2 linked regions of the Stegostoma tigrinum genome follow. The protein of the gene in region 2 interacts with the protein of the main gene of each other region in a pairwise test. Links are inferred from orthologs where the notes say so. Each region holds a gene or a part of one and is shown on either strand. Other genes may lie near its edges. The genes, in order: vacuolar protein sorting-associated protein 4B and zfyve19.

Region 1 (9,671 bases), on a different chromosome or scaffold from region 2:
ATGCAGTGGGTGGGGGGGGAAGAGCTGGGCTGGTTGTGTGGTGCAGTGGGGGGAGGGGATGAACTGGGCTGGTTGAGGGATGCAGTAGGGGAAGGGGAGATTTTGAAACTGGTGAAGTCCACATTGATACCATATGGCTGCAGGGTTCCCAGGCGGAATATGAGTTGCTGTTCCTGCAACCTTCGGGTGGCATCATTGTGGCAGTGCAGGAGGCCCATGATGGACATGTCATCAAGAGAATGGGAGGGGGAGTGGAAATGGTTTGCGACTGGGAGGTGCAGTTGTTTGTTGCGAACTGAGCGGAGGTGTTCTGCAAAGCGGTCCCCAAGCCTCCGCTTGGTTTCCCCAATGTAGAGGAAGCCACACCGGGTACAGTGGATGCAGTATACCACATTGGCAGATGTGCAGGTGAACCTCTGCTTAATGTGGAATGTCATCTTGGGGCCTGGGATGGGGGTGAGTGAGGAGGTGTGGGGACAAGTGTAGCATTTCCTGCGGTTGCAGGGGAAGGTGCCGGGTGTGGTGGGGTTGGAGGGCAGTGTGGAGCGAACAAGGGAGTCATGGAGAGAGTGGTCTCTCCGGAAAGCAGACAGGGGAGGGGATGGAAAAATGTCTTGGGTGGTGGGGTCGGATTGTAAATGGCGGAAGTATCGGAGGATAATGCGTTGTATCCGGAGGTTGGTAGGGTGGTGTGTGAGAACGAGGGGGATCCTCTTGGGGCGGTTGTGGCGGGGGCGGGGTGTGAGGGATGTGTCGCGGGAAATGCGGGAGACGCGGTCAAGGGCGTTCTCGATCACCGTGGGGGGAAAGTTGCGGAGAAATCATTAATGTTATCCCTGAACATTGGGATAAAATAATTATGTAGAGAGGGGATCAATGGAGCCAGAAATGTATTTAACCTATCCTCTTTTCTTACATAAATAATCAAGTGATTGTCAAGGCTTAAAACATCATAGCCTGAATAATGAGACGGCCAAGTCCTATCAAAAATATAGGTGTGCATTCACAATTTAGGTCTTTACTAACCAACTGGAATTCCATTGTTAAATGTATTGTTCAGATGTATGAAGTGTATTTCATGCCTAAATTTGAACATCAATTCTGTTTCACTATAATGGTTTTATTCACTAATTTTCTGGTTTTTCTTTTATCATATAGATACTTATTGAAAGCCTATTTAGCTGCCACCTTTCCTGATCAAAAGATTACTTTTTCAAATAGTCCTACACAATGTTGTTCTCTGTTGCAGAAATGAATCTCCAGAAGGTGAATGTCTCCCTTGAGAATCAGTGACCAAAGACGTTCAGAATATCGCAGTTTTAGCTGGAAACTCAGATTTGTACAGCAAAATATTGACTGCCCATTGATTGTGGTTCCAATGTGATTGGACATGTTAAGCAATCAATAACTAACTTACTACATATCATAGAATCCCTACAGCATTCAGCCTATCGAGCCTGCACCAACTCCCTGAAGATCATCCCACCCAGACCCAGCCCGTCAATTTACCCCCACAATCCCATATTTAACATAGCTAATCCAACCAGCCCACGTATTCCTGGACATTACGGTCAATTCAGCATGGCCAATCCACCTAACCTGCACATTTTTGGACTATGCAAAGAACCTGGAGCACCTAGCAGAAACCCATACAGGCAAGGGCAGAATGTGCAGACTCCACACAAACACCCAACACTGGAATTGAACCTGGCTCCCTGCTGCTGAGAGACAACAGTGTTAACCAGTGGACCATCTTGCCACCATATGTTAATCATTTATATTTGCATTATATTCGATACACTTTTATAATGAATGTCACCCTTCACATGAAATATTGGTTGCCAAACAGATGGAAACCAAAGTTCTAAACAAGAAACTCAAATTTTCATCTCAACAACAATATTAAATGTGATGAGGGTGGAAGGTCCATTCCTTCACTGAACTCAAATAAGGGGTCTGTGGAACAGCCACTGTCGGAGGTAAAAAAACGTTAAGTTTGTGTCAGTTAATTGTAACAGTTGAACTGTTAGTAGCTGAATGAGAACTAGTTTGGAAAGAAAATAATACACTTCCATCCATTCTATACTAGCTTTCAGGTAATTCCAAAACATTTTCCTACAAATGAATTACTTTTAAGTGTAGTTGCTTTTAAACAGATATGGCAGCCACTTTCCAAATGGCATTTCCAATAGACAGCAATTTTTATGATTTAAGTTAGAATTGAATATCCACCAGTCATTTACATTAATCTGAAGAGGACCTAGAATGCACTGCCTGAAAAGGTGCTAGAAGATGATATGGTAATTTTTAAAAGTAACTTGGATAAATACTTATGGAAAAATTTCAGCGATACAGGATATGATCGGGGTGGAGGGGTTGATGGGATAATTGGCTTCCGTTTCTGTGATGAGCATTTACAGCCGATATAATCTGTGAATTTGGGAGGCTGTAGACTTTATAACGGTAAGGAAGAGAGGTTTATCGGATAGGAATTTTAAAAAGGTAAACCGATAAAAGCAAACTATATGATTGGGAATAATGAAATTATGCATTTCACCAGCACAGGCATCTTGGACCAGCTGGCCACGTCCTGTTATAAATTTGCAACTTTTTGGGGACTGTGGCTTTACAAACATTGAACAGGTGAGGGCTCTTTTTTCTAGAACAGACTGAGAAACAACTGATAAGACGTTATGAAAGAAATTGATAAGTTAGACAAAGATGATGCTTCAACCTGTAGGCAACAGCAGAGCGATGGCACAAGTACAAAATGGGCATCAACAACCAGACCATCGCAGAAGCCAACCTTCCATCCATGGACTCTACTTACTGCTGCTGAAAGGTGGCCAACATCGTCAATGACCCATCAGACCTGACAATGGCCTCCTACAACCTCTTCCATCTGACAGAAGATACAGAAGCCTGAACATATGCACAAGCAGGTTCTGGAGCTTCTTTCTGGCCATTAACAGACCGAATGGAATCTAGCCTCAAATAATGTAACTTGCAATGTAACCTTTATGCCTGTAAGTCTTTTTGATCTGTACATCCTTTGCTTGCTGTGATTTGCCTGTACCGCTCATAAACAAAGCCTTGCACTGTATTTCAGTACACATGACAAGAAAATCAAAACCAAAAGAGGAATTTAAGAAAAACATCATGATCAAGACAGTTATACAGAAGTCAGTGGCAAGCAGTTACAATGTGGAACAAGGGCATTGAGGAAAACAGCAGAAATGTAAGAGGAAGTAGAATAAGTACAAGTGAGAAAGGATTTAGATTAGGCTGGGAGAAGACTCACATAGACAAAGCATAACCTGTTGGACTGAAAAACTGATTAGTCTGTTGTGAAGATTTTGCAATAATTGAAAGGATTTCATCGTTATGACTCCTGGCTTGTTTTTACAGTCCTAGCAATTTATAAAGTCTTGTTAGGCAGTTAGCCATTTATATCTAAAATGATTTTGCTCAGTACCAGGGATTATTTGCATCTGCGATAAACACTGATTGTCACAGTTCTGCAAATTTGTGTACACTCTCCAAAGTCGCGCTTTTTTCATGAACAGTGTCCTGTTTTAAAGCAAATATTTTCTTTCCCAGTCCCAATGTGAGAAGCTAAGAAACAAAACAGAGAACAGCAGCTGATTGCTTGTCGAGGAGATGTTGCTTATGTATTACAAAGTTCTATTGGTGAATGCTTCAGAGGTTTAAAGGAGGGGCTGGCTGATGCTGCTTTTCGCCTTGCCTTCTTCCGGCTACTGCCCTTTAACAGTCACGTCATGTAGGGAACTAGAAACTCAGCCTGTCCTAGCTGTAGGGCACCTTCCCCTCTCCCCTGTGTTTGAACCTTAATTTCGGGCTCTTATCCCACTCTCGCCCCCGAATTCTGGACCCAGCCCTGGATAAGAAGCAGTTGATGTGAGAGCCCCAAAGGGAGGATATCGCTCCCGCCGCCCACCCTCAGCGGCAGTGATTACCTGCAGGTTGTTACTGTGAGCGGCCATCTGCCCTGTCCTTACGCTGACTGTGTTGACCAGGAGGTGACAGAAAAAACGCCGATGCCCCGACTCCGAACTTGCTAAAACAAACACGACCCTACTTCCGCCTCCGAGCGGCCGGCCAAAACGCACCTCCGTCACTTCCGATAGACTCGAGCACAAGATGCCATGACGGCGGCACACTTCCGGTGTTTTGTCCCGCTCCCTTTCCCGTGCCTGAACTCCTATTGTCTCCAAAACTGCAGCAGCAGTGCCTCCTGTTGGTAAACCAGGCACCTTTTCTGAAGAAGGGTCTAAGCCCGAAACATCAGCTTTCCTGCTCCTCTGATGCTGCTGTACACCTTGTTATCTCACCTTTGGGAAAAGGTTGCTACCAAAGAAACAAGAGCAGCACATTTAAACATTTCTGATAGGACCACAAGATATAGGATCAGAATTAGGCCATTCAGCCCAAGGAGTTTACTCTGCCATTCGATTATGGCTGATATGTTTCTTAGCCCTATTCTCCTGCCATCTCCCAGTAACCTCAGATCCCCTTACTAATAATGAACTTAACTAACTCTGTGTTAAACTCTGACATTGCCTCCACAGCCTGCTGCAGCAATGTATTCGACAGATTCACCACCCTTTAGGGCTGCACAGTGGTTCAGTGGTTAGCATTGCAGCCTTATAGTGCCAGGGACATCAGGGACCTGGGTTTGATTCCACCCTTAGGTGACTCTGGAGTTTGTGTATTCTCCACATGTCTGCTTGGGTTTCCACAAGTGCTCTGGTTTTCTCCTGGATAGGGGAAGTTGGTGGGTCTGGTAGGACCCTCTTTGCAGGGTCACTGTGAACTCAATGGACCAAAAAAGCTGCTTCCACACTAGGGATTCTATGATTCTGGCTGAAGAAATGCCATGTCAGTTCTAAAAGGTTCACTGAGACCTTGACCTTGAGTCCTTGTCTCTCCTACTGGTTGCCCAGATAACATAAAAATGACATAAAGATTCTTGAACTCCCAAGGTTTGCAAACAGACAATGGAAATGCAAGAACTCCAGCCTCAGAAACAAACAGTAGGTGGGAGGAAGAATTTCACGGGGACTCAGCAGAAGTGAATTCTTTGCAGAAAACTTGATTGCCCAAAATTTTCCATTTTGCATTTTTGAACTGCAAGATTGTAACAGAATGAGACAGAGTCAGCTTAGCTTAAGGAAGCTGTGCTTAATAAAGCTGCAGGAATTTTTTGAGGATGTAACTAGTGGCATAGATAAGGAGTAGCCAGTGGATGTGATTTGCTTGGATTTTCAGAAGGCTTTTGATAAGACTCCACGTAAGAGATTAGCAGACAAAATTGAAGCACATGGGATTGGGGGTCATGTTCTGAAATAGATTAAGAACTGGTTGGCAGACAGGAAACCGTTCACAATATACATATGATTTAGATGAGGGAACTAATTGTAATATCTCAAAATTTGCAGCTAACACAAAGCTCCATGGGAGGGTATGCCGTTAGAAAAATGTGAAGAGGTTTCAGTGCGATTTGCACAAGTGGGCAAATTCGTGACAGATGCAGAATGAGACCACTGTGTCCTTGTATACCAGTAACTCAAAATAAGTATGTAGCTGCAGCAGTTGGTGAAAAAGGCAAAATAGAATGTTAACCTTCAGAGGAAGGGAATTAGGGCATGAAGCAAAGATGTCTTTGCCGAGGTCAGACCATACCTGGAGTAGGGTGTTCAGTTTAGGTCTTATTTCAGGAAGGATATTCTGGTTATTAAGTCTTTGCAAAAAAGGTTTACCTTCCTGGGATTCCTGCAATGGTGGGACTAACGTATGGTGAGAGACTGGATCAGATAGAACTATATTCATGGAGTTTTGAAGCATTTGAGGGGGGCGGGTGTAGAATGTCAGTAACCTAAATGCATGGAGGATGTCTCCAATGATGGGAGAGTCCAGAACCAGGGGTCACAGTTCAAGGATATGGGGTGCTCCATTTAAGACAGAGATGAGGAGAAATTTCTTAAGTTAGAGAGTGGTGAGCCTTAGGAATTTTCTGCTGCAGAAAGCAGCTGGGGCCAAAAAATTGAAAACTTCCAAGAAATATGGTGATACAAATTTTAGGACTAAAGGTATCAAAAAGCATAGGGAGAAAGTGGGAACAAGATATTGAGTTGGATGATCAGCGTGATCGTATTAAATGGTGAAAATGGGTCAAAGAGCTGAATGGTCTACTGTTGTTCCTTTCTTCTGCTGGCTGTATAAAGAAACCCAGCCAAGAACAGCCATTGTTCAAGAGTTCTTGCAGCAACTTTGATAACGAGGCAGGGGATTTTTGAATGAGCGAGATAAAAGTGCCATTCACAAACCTCTCCAGGAGATTGTGAAGGAGAAAGAGAGATGCTGAAACATCTGGTAGTCTGCTAAAACTGCCATGCCCACCCTGGAATCTAGGATTCATTCTTCTCATAAATATACTGTTCTGAAAAAATGACCTGTTCAAGTTAACACAACCTATTCAATAACAGCAGCTATTACACTGCTGGATTATATATCAAGCAGTAATCCCAACTTCAGAAACAAGCCATATTATATTACAGCGACTTATTTAGACTCTTGCATATTCTTCTGCTTTATCTGTACTTGTTTTAAATCTTTTTGAATCAATTTGGTCGGAAATACACTCCTAGGGCAGATGAGTCTTGAACCCTAGGCTCCTAAACTTTGTTGTTAATAACTCTATCCCTCAGGAACCTGCAGTAATAACTTGCAATAAATTTTCCTTTAACCCGTTTAGAACAAATGGGTTTTGTTGGTCTGTTCAATCAAGCAGACTCTGTATGTTTTTATGAAGAAGAAACTGTGTTTGATAAATTTACAATAGTTGATGAGGATGTAATAAGTGAGGGTGGATATAGAGGAATCAATAAGTATAATGTAGTTTGGTTTCCAACACTTATTGATAAGGTGCTTTCACACAAGTTAAGCGTTTGGGCTGTGGAGGGGTAATATGTTAATGTGGCTAACAGGGAACACAGAGATAGGATAAAAAAGTCATTTCTGGCTAACAAACTGTTACTTTGGAATTTTGTAGGAATCAGTGCTGGGGCCTCAACTATTTACAATCAATATTAGTGACTTGGAAGAAGAAACAAACTGATTCTTACCAAATTTGCTAATGAAGCTAAAACTGTTTTCTTCCTTCTTCACACACAATATAGCAATTTTAATTAAATTAAAGCTATGCATGGCTTCTGTTCACTTTAGAACCCATGGCTAGGGAGTATACATCAAGTGGTAGGACCCTAGGAAGTACAAAGAATCAGAGGGACCTTGGTATGCATGTCCATAGATCTTTGAAGGTCAGGTAGATAAGGTGGTTAAGAAGACATATTGTATACTTGCCTTAACTAATTAAGGCATTGGATAAAAGATCAAGGAGGTAATGAAGGAGCTGTATATAACATTAGTTAGGCCATGGTTGGTGCAGTTCTGGTCATCATAACATAGAAAGAATGTGATAGCACTGGAGAGAGTGAAGAAGAAATTCACTAAGATATTGCCTGGGCTGGAATGATTCAGCTATGAAGATAGATTTAATAGGCTGTGGTCACTTACTTTAGAGCAGAGAGGCAGAAGGGAAATCTGATTGAGGGGTGGAAAGTTCTGAGGGGCATACACAAGGTAGAAATGAAAAAAACTCATTCAGAGGGGCAGGAAACAGGGGTCAAGGTAAGGAGCAGGAGGTTTACAGGGGATTTGAAGAATTTCTTTTCACCCAAAACATTATGTATATCTGGAAATCACTGCCTAAAAGAGTAATTTGAATTAGGTTTATTGTCACATATATTCACATGAGTACAGAGAAAAGTTTATAAGTCGCCACTTAGTCATAAAGCAGAAAATAAGGAAAACAAAGTTAAAAAGTAGAAAAATAAAGAAACACAGTTAACAGTTCAAGACCACAGTCCATAAATGCCCAGACAGGTTGGACTCAGATACCTCACAAGGGCTCAATATCCCCTGCTTTGGGCTCAACCTTGACCCTGCTGCTGCCCCAGGTTGCGTGCAGCCATCATGCCAAAAAGAAGGAAAAAATGAAGACTGAAGAGTAAAGAAGAAAGAAAAGTAAAAAGAAAGGAAAAAACAAACCGGCTCAGGTGTCAGAACGCTGCCTACCCTGTCATTACCACTATCCTGGATAAAGTTGAGGGTAGAAGAGGAAAACTTCAATTGCTTTGAAAATGTTTAGATGAACACATGCAGACTGCAATCAGTAATGATGGGTGACAATGTTTCCTCCACAATAATTTTCAACACCAGTGCCTTGCAAGGCTCCTACTCAGCTCCTTACTATACTCCTTATATATTCATGACTGTGTGGCCAAATTCAGTGTTAACTCCATTTACAACCATTGACACCATTGTAGTGGTTTGGATATCAAACGGCAATGAAACAGAGTACAGGAAAAAGACAGCTCTGTGGCATGGTATCAAGTCAACAATCTCTCTCTCAATGTCTGTAAAACAAAGGAGCTGGTCATCAACTTCATGAACTGGAGTGGAGGGCACATCCTCATCTGTATCAACGGTGCTGAGGTAATCAAGAGCTATAAGTTCCTAGAAGTAAATATCACCAACAATCTTGCACACCAATGCCCCTACTTCTTCAGAAAGCTAAGGAAATTTGGCACATACACAATTACTCAGACCAATTTTTATAGATGCACCATAGAAAGCATTTGATCCGGATGCATCACAGCTTGGTATGTCAACAGCGCTGCCCAAGACTGCAAGAAATTACAAAGAATTACGAACCAGCCCAGTCCATTATGAAAACTAGCCTTCATTCCGTTGACTCCGTTTACATTTCCCACTGCCTTGGGAAAGCAGCCAACATAATCAAGGACCCCACCCAACCTAGTTATACTCTCTTTCACCTCCTTCCATCAGGCAGACAATACAAAAGTTTGAAAATGTGTATCAAGAAATTCAAGAAAAGCTTCTTCTCTGCTGTTATCAGACTTTTGAATAGACCTATCATTTCATAACTCTGATGTCTCTCTCCCTGCACGTTCTCTGTGACTGTAACACTGTATTCAGCAGTCTGTTCTGCTACAATGATGCACTTTGTACGATACATTCTGCCTGTATAGTACTCAAAACAACACTTTTTACTTCACCTTGGTACATGTGACAACAATAAATCAATCAATCAATGTTCAGTTTTAATCATCAGCTGTGTGACCAAATGTCTACTTTGCTGCAAATACAAGAATGAAGTAGCAGAGCTTAGTGATCAATGGACTACATGAGAGATTTATACTCCAAGGTGTAAAGTAAGCAGCTCATGTACCAGGTGCAGGCTATGGGAACATGGAAGGTGATTGCAATGACAGTGCATTTTTCAGCGCTGCAGTACATTGCCTGTGATTCAGGTCATTAGTGGGACTGAGTCCTGATGCTGCACAGTGTGGTTAAGAGTGTTTGGGGACAGGATTTGTAGAAGTTATCATCTCAAGTTCACATAGCTTGTAGTTTGATGGGTATCTTTCAGCTCTACTGTTTGGCTTTCTGTGTAATGCCGTTGCTCTTTGATTGGCTTCACATTGCTTAAACATGAAGCTCATTCCCTCACAGAACAAGGCAGTTACCTTGTCTCTTTTTTGTGTGGGGGTGGTGGCACCCATTTT
Region 2 (9,220 bases):
CCAATCAAATGCAAAACAATACAGAAACAATTGTACAAATAAGTCACCAGCCAGGACATGATAAAGTGTATGTCACAGAAGACCAAAAGCCTGGGAGAAAGAAAATTTCATCATTCTTAATAATGAATTTGTCACTCTCAACAGAATCAAATGATTCATTTGAATAAGAAATCTGTCAATTGCTGAATCAAGCAGGTAACAAAAAAAAGTTAGCATTTTCAGATACAAGGATAACATTGCAGCGAGGGTAAATTGATACAGATTCTGATGTGCAAGAATACCTCAACACAATACCATTGTAATGGGGTGGATTAGAAGGAAGGGAAGAATAGGGGCAACGTGTTTGGGGAACACTAGACAGAGGAGACAGTGAAAAGCAAAAAGAGATTTATTATTTTGCATTAATCTTCTGGTTGCCCAACAACTGGATATTGCTGTGTAACTGATTATTTCAGTTGTAGCAGTACTTTTATAGTATTCCCAGATAGTATAATGCAGCTTTGGTGGCTTTAAGCTGTGTAGATAAACACCTTCACTTGTCTACTGAATAGCAGAAATTCCTCTTGGTTCCAGTCAATCTTGAGTTAATGGCAGTATCCCAACACTACAGAGGAGATAGTCAATACACTGACTTTATTTTAAATTGGCACTGCCACATGTTGTAATTTTTCACAATTTTGTGGAAAATTATGAAAACATTTTTTGAGGAAATAATTTATTTCATGGTTACAGATTAAATTGTTTAAAGTTTAAAATTCACACATTTTTCAAAGAAAGGTTAGGCTTTTAAGTTATTTTCCCCCAAAATAAATGTTGATTGACAATTACAAATTTGTTTTGCTGTCTATATTCCAATGTGTCTGGAGATGTTTTGCCTTGGGCAACCTGGTGAGGTCCTCAGACCGAAACTTGGTTTGTGAACATAGATTTTTTAAAAAATATAAACAGGCTCAGGTGCATTCATCAGGTTTTCAAAGAGGAAACAAAAAGACAGGAATACAATTTACAGAACTCAGGAAGACAAGAGGTTGTTTGTTGGAAGCAAGCCAAATGGTCCATTAATATCTTGCTTATGTTTTGCAAAGATAACTTATACTGGACGTGTAGAAGCCTCTGGGCTGCAAAAACACAGATAGATTACTAACTCGGCCAAACAGCAAGGGATGCTGGTGCACTGGCCAAGTAAAACATTGAAAGCACAAAATCCACACAGTAGACTCAGCTCAAACACAGCAGCCAGGCGCTAATGATATTAGCTTAATGTAAAAGACAACAGTTATGTTGGACAGACATACCCCCAAATAAAGGAGGGCTCAAACAGAAATGCTCTGGATCCTGCTAGACAAAGAAACTAACAGTAACATGCCTTCCAAATGATTAAGTCTGTTTCAAACTATTAAGTGTATGCCCCTGATTGGCCAGAACTACAGAAAGTTCCAGAAAAGCCACCGAAAATGTATAAAAACACACCACTCTCTTGTAATTGTCTGAAGACTTTGGGGAGATCAGTATGACAAGCCAAACAGAGTGAGAGAGAGCAGCTTCGCAGATCCAGAGACAAGGCAGCTGCATAATGTCTACAAAGGACTCGAGAAGTTCTGCAACCGTAAGAGGCCAAATAGGTTTAGAGACAGTATGTTTAGTAAGAAAGGTTATTGTAACTTTGTTCCTAATAAAGTTGCGACTGCTTTGTATTGAGACCAGCTTGTGTATGTATTGATTTGACTGCTTTGGTATTATTGGACACCTTGACAAATTCATTCACAACATTCTGGTCGCAGTTGTCTAACTTTTAAGAGGAGACTTGATGACAAGGTTATCTGATGATTGTTGTTCTGTGGACTCCTGAAGTGAAGAAGCTTCGTAATTTCAAACTGGTGACATTTCATTTAATGTGTATAATAAGGTATGAATTTCCAGTTTGGTGTATTGAGTGTGCGAACAATCTGGATCAAGATTTTGTATAGGTAGTAGTGGGCAGCCCTAAACACAGCTCACAGTAACAACTTGCATTGCTCTGAGAATATCTATGGCAATGAAAACAGAGATTGCTACAAAAGCGCAGGTCTGGAAGCAACTATGGAGAGAAATCACATTTAACATTTCGAGGCCAGTGGCCCTTCCTCAGAACTCTCATACAAAGGAAAGTTATTAATCAGAGGGAAAGGCTGGATAGGCTGGGATTTTTTTTCCTCCTGGAGCATAGGAGATTGAGTGGTGACATTATAGATGCTTATGAAATCATGAGTGGCATAGGTAAGGTAAATAGCCAACAGCTTTTCCCCATGGCAGAGCATAGGTTTAAGCTGAGAGGAGAGAGATACAAAAAGGTGCAGAGGGGCATTTTTTACACACCGGGGGTGGTGAGTGTCTGGAACGGGCTGCCAGAGATAATGGTGGAAGTAAGTACAATTTCATATTGGGTCAGGTACACGTATGGTGTAGGTAAGGAGGGAAATAGACCAGATGCAGGCAAATGGGAATAGTTTAATTGTGAAATCTGGACGGCATGGCCAAGTTGGGCCATCTTTCCATTCAACAAACCTCTATGACTCTATGAAAATACTATACAAGATAAATAAAAATTCATCTTTTTTAAAAATTTTGATTTACCCATGGACAGTAGAAATTTTGAAACTTATTTCCTCAGGTCCACCTGATGCATTTTGGAGAACAACAGAATCCTAAAGGGATTGGGATCAGCTATGATTCTCTCCATTCCAGTCCCACCCACAGCTAACAACTAGTCTTTTGCACTTTCCAACAGAGCTAACCAGGTAGGGAGGAGCAGTAAATACGAGATGTTTGTTTGCCGTTTAAAATCTCAACAGCTACAACTAAAACAAAACTGTAGAATTGATGCATCCATTTTCGGGTTGTGGTTCAGGACTAGACTAATAGATGAACTGTAATTTTTGCAAAAGTTAGTTATCACCTAAATAAAATGCAAATTTCAGCCCTTCACAACATTTAAGATTGTTTATCTCAAGCAAATCAAAGACATTGTTTTCCATTCTATGCTATATCTCTTGACCAGTATTTGTTCCCTTCTCTAGTCAGTCACCCAAGCCTTGAGAAATCATAATACAATTTTCAAACTGTAGGCCAGCTTTAGGGTAGGCGATTCATCAAAACTACTGGCTTTCACCTCGATGAATACTCATCCCAACTATGTTTTTGCTAACTCTAGCCTCAAGTGTTAAAATACTCTTAGACTCGAACATTCCAAACTTAATCACTCCACCTTGGCAGACATGCCCATCCACTTCCATCCCCAACGATTTACTCTAGCGTACAGAATTTGAAAGCAAATTGTTTATTTCCATTTGATCAAATTAAACAAGAACATGCATCGTTATATTGGAGCATTTTCAACCATGATAGATCTCTGTAATACACTGTGATTATTTTCCACGGTAAAGTACCCCAACAAATAAACATAAATATGGTCTAATCACACAATATTCTTTGGATTCTACCAACCGAAACAGAATATTCAATGATGCAATTATGTTTCACGTAGAATCTGATGACAGGTAGACGGAGAATGTTCACTGGCAGGTGTGAATTACTGCTGCGATGTTGGTGCAAAGTTTAACACAAACAAACTGCCTGCTTTAGGAGGAACATGAACTTGCCTCTTTTCTCAGGAGAGTAAACTTGGACGCGCAGCCATAGCATCTTCCAGCCATCTTCGGCCTGTTTGGCTGTTAACCTCTCAATTCTAAAAAGCAATAACCTGACCACTTTTACATTACACTCACACCGACCCTCCTACGTTAAATGCCGTCAGGGAGCTCGTTCTTCGCTCTCCATCTCCACGGCTACCAACCGGAAACCAAAAACCAGTTCCGCCCCCACCCCCTGCCCGCCGGGTGCCGTAGTGCTTTCTTTCCAGCAGACGTGCAGAGTGTGCGGGGAGCTTGAGCCGCATGAACTACAATTCCCGGCGCGCATCGCAGCTACTTGACCGCCGACAGTGGCGGTGAGCTGGACCATAATCCCAAGTGTCTTCCAGTGCGTACGCCGTGATGCACGCAGGGAATTATAGTCTCTTCTGGGACAAAACTTCAAGGAGCCTGAGCGGACAGGTGGTGTCTCGGAAACTACAATCCTAGAAGGCTTCGCGGCTCGAAGGGCTTGGTGTTGTTTTGGAGGCCGGTGGTGAATGTTTAGGCCTGAGTCTATTTCGCAATCGGGTTGAAAGGAAAGGCCGGAATCTGCTGCTTCGAGCTAGGTCACCTTTAGTGTGAAGAACAATGACAGCTAAAGAAATCCTGCAGTTAGACCTCTACTCGTTGCTGGGGATCAGCGAAGATGCTACTGGTAAAGAGGTAAGGAAGTGTCTGTGGGGATAATATAGTATCAGAGATAATGGGAACTGCAGATGCTGGAGAATTCCAAGATAATAAAATGTGAGGCTGGATGAACACAGCAGGCCAAGCAGCATCTGATGAAGGGTCTAGGCCCGAAACGTCAGCTTTTGTGCTCCTGAGATGCTGCTTGGCCTGCTGTGTTCATCCAGCCTCACATTTTATTATCTAAGAAGTGTCTGTGGAGTGTTTTTTGAAATCCCCGCCAGCCCCAGTCACTGACTGAAGCCGGGTCTTAGTCAGGGGACAGTATTTACAACTGCTGCTTTCAGTCTAGCCGCAGGGTCAGGGATCACAGGCTGGCTGTATCTCAGAAGGAGGCCGTTAGGTCCTTCGTGTGCATGTACCTACCAACCAAATGTGCCATTCCTCTCTCTCTCTTTCCCCTTCAAATCACACTCCCAATTCAATTAAAACTGCCTCCTCAGTCTCAGGAAGGGCATTCCTGAGCGTAACTATTTGCTGTTAAAATGTTTCTGCTCACATCTCTATTGTTTCTTTACCCATTCTCCTTACGTCTTCCACTAGTGGGAATAGTTTTGTTCCCAGTTTAATTTGCCACGACCCTTCATGAGCTTCAGTACCTCTATCAGACCTATTCTCAACCTTCTCTTGAACGATAATTACCCATTTACAAATACTAAGTTCCAGATCATTATCATTCCTGTGGCCACTCAAAGCCTTTACTCAATTTATGTATTTTCACCTCCTGCAACAAAATGCAGCGATCACAATCCAGTTAATTATGTCTCTCTTTCCTTTTCAGTTTAGAATCAAACTGTTGACCTTACACTATATGAAAGAAACCAAAAGAACTGCTGTAAATCAGGAACAAAAATAAAGTTGCTGGAAAAGCTCAGCAGGTCTGAGTTCCATTCTTCTTTTCCTTCACAGATGTTGCCAGACCTGCTGAGCTTTTCCATCAACTTCGTGTTTGTTGCTGACCTTACACTGTTGTTTAAGGCATTGACCCATTGACAGGATTGAGGTAAAAGTAAACAATTTTCAACAGGTGTTTGATAAAATGCAACAGAATAAGTTGCTTGCAAGGTTGAGCCATAGATTAAATGAGACAGTGACAGCCTGGAAGTCCACAAAGTGATGGCAAAAAAATGAGTAGTGGTGAAGATTCTTTTGAACTACGGGATGATATGCAGTAGTGTTCCTCAGGTGTCAGTAATGTGCTTTTCTTCATATCTGTTCGTGATTTTTGAACGCGGTTGTCGAGAACTGAATTTTGAAATTAGCAATGATAGAACATGGAAATATAGTGAACTGTGAGGACATGGTTGACGAATGTTAACACGGTTTAGTGAGAGTGAGGAGAAGCAATTGAAACTGAAAGATCCAATTCTGAAGGAGTTCAGGAGCAGCGAAAGATGGCGTTGTATGCATGCAAATCATTGTAGGTGGCAGGGTAGTTTGAGGAAATGATTAGTAAAACATACAGGATCTTGGCCTTTATAAAGAGAGACATAGCATGCAAATGCAAAGAAGCTATGGTGAACCTTTATGAAACTCTGGTTCACCCTCCTTTGAGATATTGTGTCGAACTTTAGGCGCTCACCTTTTGGAAGGGGTTTGAAAGCTTTGTACAGATTGCTGGAAATATTAATGAGAAAGGTTCCAGCAAGGATGACCTCCTTTTGTGCTGTAACCCTTCAATGATCTTGCTTCGCTTACTTTGTGTCTCCATCCACTCACATCTCCAACAATAATTGAGAAGGGCTTTGCCTTGAAGAATGAATTATTTAGCTGCATTTGCCATATTTCTCCTTTTTCACCAATTCAGATTTCCTTCTTGTCTGCTTCTCTCTCTGCAATTTCTAACTTCTTTTCCCTCCTGTTTCAGTGCCAATCTTGACCTCAATACTCTTACCCCATTTCCATTAAATCGCAGTTAACCTCAATACTCTTACCCCATTTCCATTAAATTGCAGACCCAAATTGCACCCATATTAGCTGCATTCTTTAAAACTGTGTTCACGCCTCAAATGCTGCTCCTGCATTTTTTGAATTAGCCAACTTCATCCTTGTTTCAAACAGGTCTAACCTTGATCGTTCTGTCTTTGAGAACTACTAAACCATCTCATGTTGTCCTTTGCTGTCACGTCCTAAATGTGTAGTAGCTTCAAACCTGTGACCATTTTTCTTGCAGAAATTGAAATATGGTGTTGCAATATTTAAGTTACAAATGACCACTTGAACTCTGTGGTGTACTGTTCTTCCATGGTCGTCTTGTGTTGTCTGCAGCGTTCCACACCATTCTTTTCTCAGAGCTTCTTCCCTGCTGTCCTGCTTTGTGGAAGTATCTTCATCGTTATATTCTTGACATAGACAATAGAAACCATCAGGCAATCTCATCCTGCCCCTGTGCACCTTTGGAAACTCCTGGGCTTCCTCTGATACCTTACTGCTTCTAAACAACACACCGTCACCCTCCACATGTTCACCAGCAATGCAAACTGCCCTTCAGCCCTACATAGCTTGCTTGTCTGACATTCAATTCTGGCTGAGCTGAAATTTCCTCCAGTTAATTGCTAAGATGGCCACATTCATTGTCTTTGGTCACCAGCACAAACGCAAACCACTTGCCTCCGATTCTATCCCTCTCTCCGGGTAAAATCTCAATGAATTGCAACCTAGGCGTTCAACTTAACATGGAGTGAAGCGTCTGGGGCCATAGTCTTCTCAATCACAAAGATCATCTCCTTCCACCTCCATAACATTGTCTGTCTCTGCCCTAGCTCAGCTCATCTGTTGCTGAAACTCACATCCATGTCTTTTTTTTTATAAACCTCTGGACTTGATATATCCAGAGCTCCAGCCTCCCATTCTTCATAAAGCTGTAAAGCTGAGCTCATCCAATGATCTTTTGCCTGGATCATACTTTGCAACTAGTGTTCTGCTCACTCAGCTGGCTGCGTTCACTGGCTTGCACTGGCATTCAGCCCTCTAACATCTCAGTTTTAAATCTCATCTTCTTCTTCAAAATTTCTTTGGCCTCAAGTTCTCTATCTCTATAACCTTGTCAAGTCCTATTTTGTTCTGCAATCTTTGTGTCTATCAATCTCTGGGCTGTTGCAAATTCCTTGTTTCATTAGCCTTCTATTGATGGCCATTCTGTCAGCCAATTAGACATAAATATGCCCAATTCTCTCCTAAAATCTGTCCATCTCCAGTTTTTTTACTCCTCTAGTTTTCTTGAAAGCCTACTAATTTGTCCAAACATTTGATCACTAAATTGTAACATTTTATAACATTATACCTGATTTATTTTATTACTTTTTCATGGGGTATGAGTGTTGCTGGCTAGGCCACTATTTATTTCCTTGCCCTAATTGCCTTGAGAAGGCGTTGGTGAACTGCCTTCTTGAACTGCTGCAGTCCTTGCGATGTAGATATCCTGCCAGGAGGGAGTTCCAGAATTTTGATCTAACAATGAAGGAACGGCAATACAGATCTGAGTCTTGGAGGGTTGCTACCATTGGCCTCACGGGTCATAGAAATTGTGAGATTAGAAGGTTCTGTTGAGAGATCCTTGATGAGTTGCTGTGGTAGGGACTGTTGCTGCATTATATTGGTGCTGGAGGAAGTGGGTGAGGTGCTAGTTAAGTGTTTTGTCTTGGGTAATGACCAGGTTCTTGCTGGAGCTGCACCCAATCAGGCAAGTGGCGTCTATTCCAACACAACCCCAACTCTGTGCCTTCTCGATGGTGGACAGGCTTTGGGAATATCACAGAATTCACAACCACTTGGCATGCTGTTACAGCCACAGTAGTTATATACTTGACATGTTTCAGTTTCTGGTCCATGGTAATTTGCAGGATATTAATAGTGGGAGACTTAGTGACGGTAATAGCATATTATATCAAGGTAGATGGTTGATGTAGTACGATTGTTACTTTCCACACAAACCAAGATATTGGCTGGATCGTGCTTCATACCAGCATGGAATAGCTGAAGAGCTGGAAATGGAATTGAACATTGCACAATGAACCAGGTGCATCCCTGCTTTTGACCTCATTTGGAGGGAAGTATTTTGGAGAAGGAGCTGGCCTCCAAAAACTACAACATTCTTTCTTTGAGCATTTTCCCTGATGAAGTATTCTCAGTATCCAGTTTTGCCAAAACCCCTTGATTTTGCTCTGGTAAATGCTACTGTGACAAGCCTGATGGAAAGTGTACACTGAAAATTGTGCCCACTATTCAAGGTCATCATAAATGTTAAGTTAACCAATTTTAATTTCTACAAAAGTAATGCCTTACTGTGACAACTATGTAAGGCTAAGATGCTATTTGTCTTAACATTGCAAATCAAGGCTAGTGTATGGACTATATATATTTTATTTGAAATATCAGCTGGAACGTGGATGTTTGGATAGCTATTATTGGGAATCAACTAGTATTTTTTCATCTTAAAGATCTCAGATTAAAGAAACTCACAGGAGGTATCATTAATAACTTGTTTATTATGACAGACATCCTTTTGTGGGCTTTGCTTTGTAACTGTTTAACACTGAGTACTGGTAGTGGTTAGTAATTATAGGAAAAAATACAAAAAAATGTCACAGATAATGGGAACTGCAGATGCTGGAGAATTCCAACATAACAAAATGTGAGGCTGGATGAGCTTTTGTGCTCCTGAGATGCTGCCAGCTTTTGTGCTCCTGAGATGCTGCTTGGCCTGCTGTGTTCATCCAGCCACACACTTTGTTATCCAAAAAAATGTCACAGTGATTTTGACGGTGGGAAAATCGCTCGTGTATTTTTTAAAAAATCTTTTACATGTGGCAAAATGGATTACTAATTACTAATATACATAGTATATGTATATATTATAACAT

What was found.
Region 1: the proteins of zfyve19 (region 2) and vacuolar protein sorting-associated protein 4B interact in binary tests that used the Homo sapiens proteins (3 or more experiments, as listed by UniProt). The two-hybrid records come from large-scale screens. The link is inferred for Stegostoma tigrinum from reciprocal best matches to the Homo sapiens genes ZFYVE19 and VPS4B.

The regions. Positions count from the first base shown.
Region 1 is NC_081355.1:54,428,052-54,437,722, reverse strand, and holds the start of vacuolar protein sorting-associated protein 4B, read right to left. Parts: upstream 4,130-9,671; 5' UTR 4,005-4,129; coding exon 3,978-4,004; intron 1-3,977.
Region 2 is NC_081363.1:82,441,300-82,450,519, reverse strand, and holds the start of zfyve19 (abscission/NoCut checkpoint regulator), read right to left. Parts: upstream 3,832-9,220; 5' UTR 3,693-3,831; coding exon 3,639-3,692; intron 1-3,638. Other genes in the region: dnajc17 (dnaJ homolog subfamily C member 17), read left to right, coding at 4,260-4,334. UniProt on the Homo sapiens protein: Key regulator of abscission step in cytokinesis: part of the cytokinesis checkpoint, a process required to delay abscission to prevent both premature resolution of intercellular chromosome bridges and accumulation of DNA damage.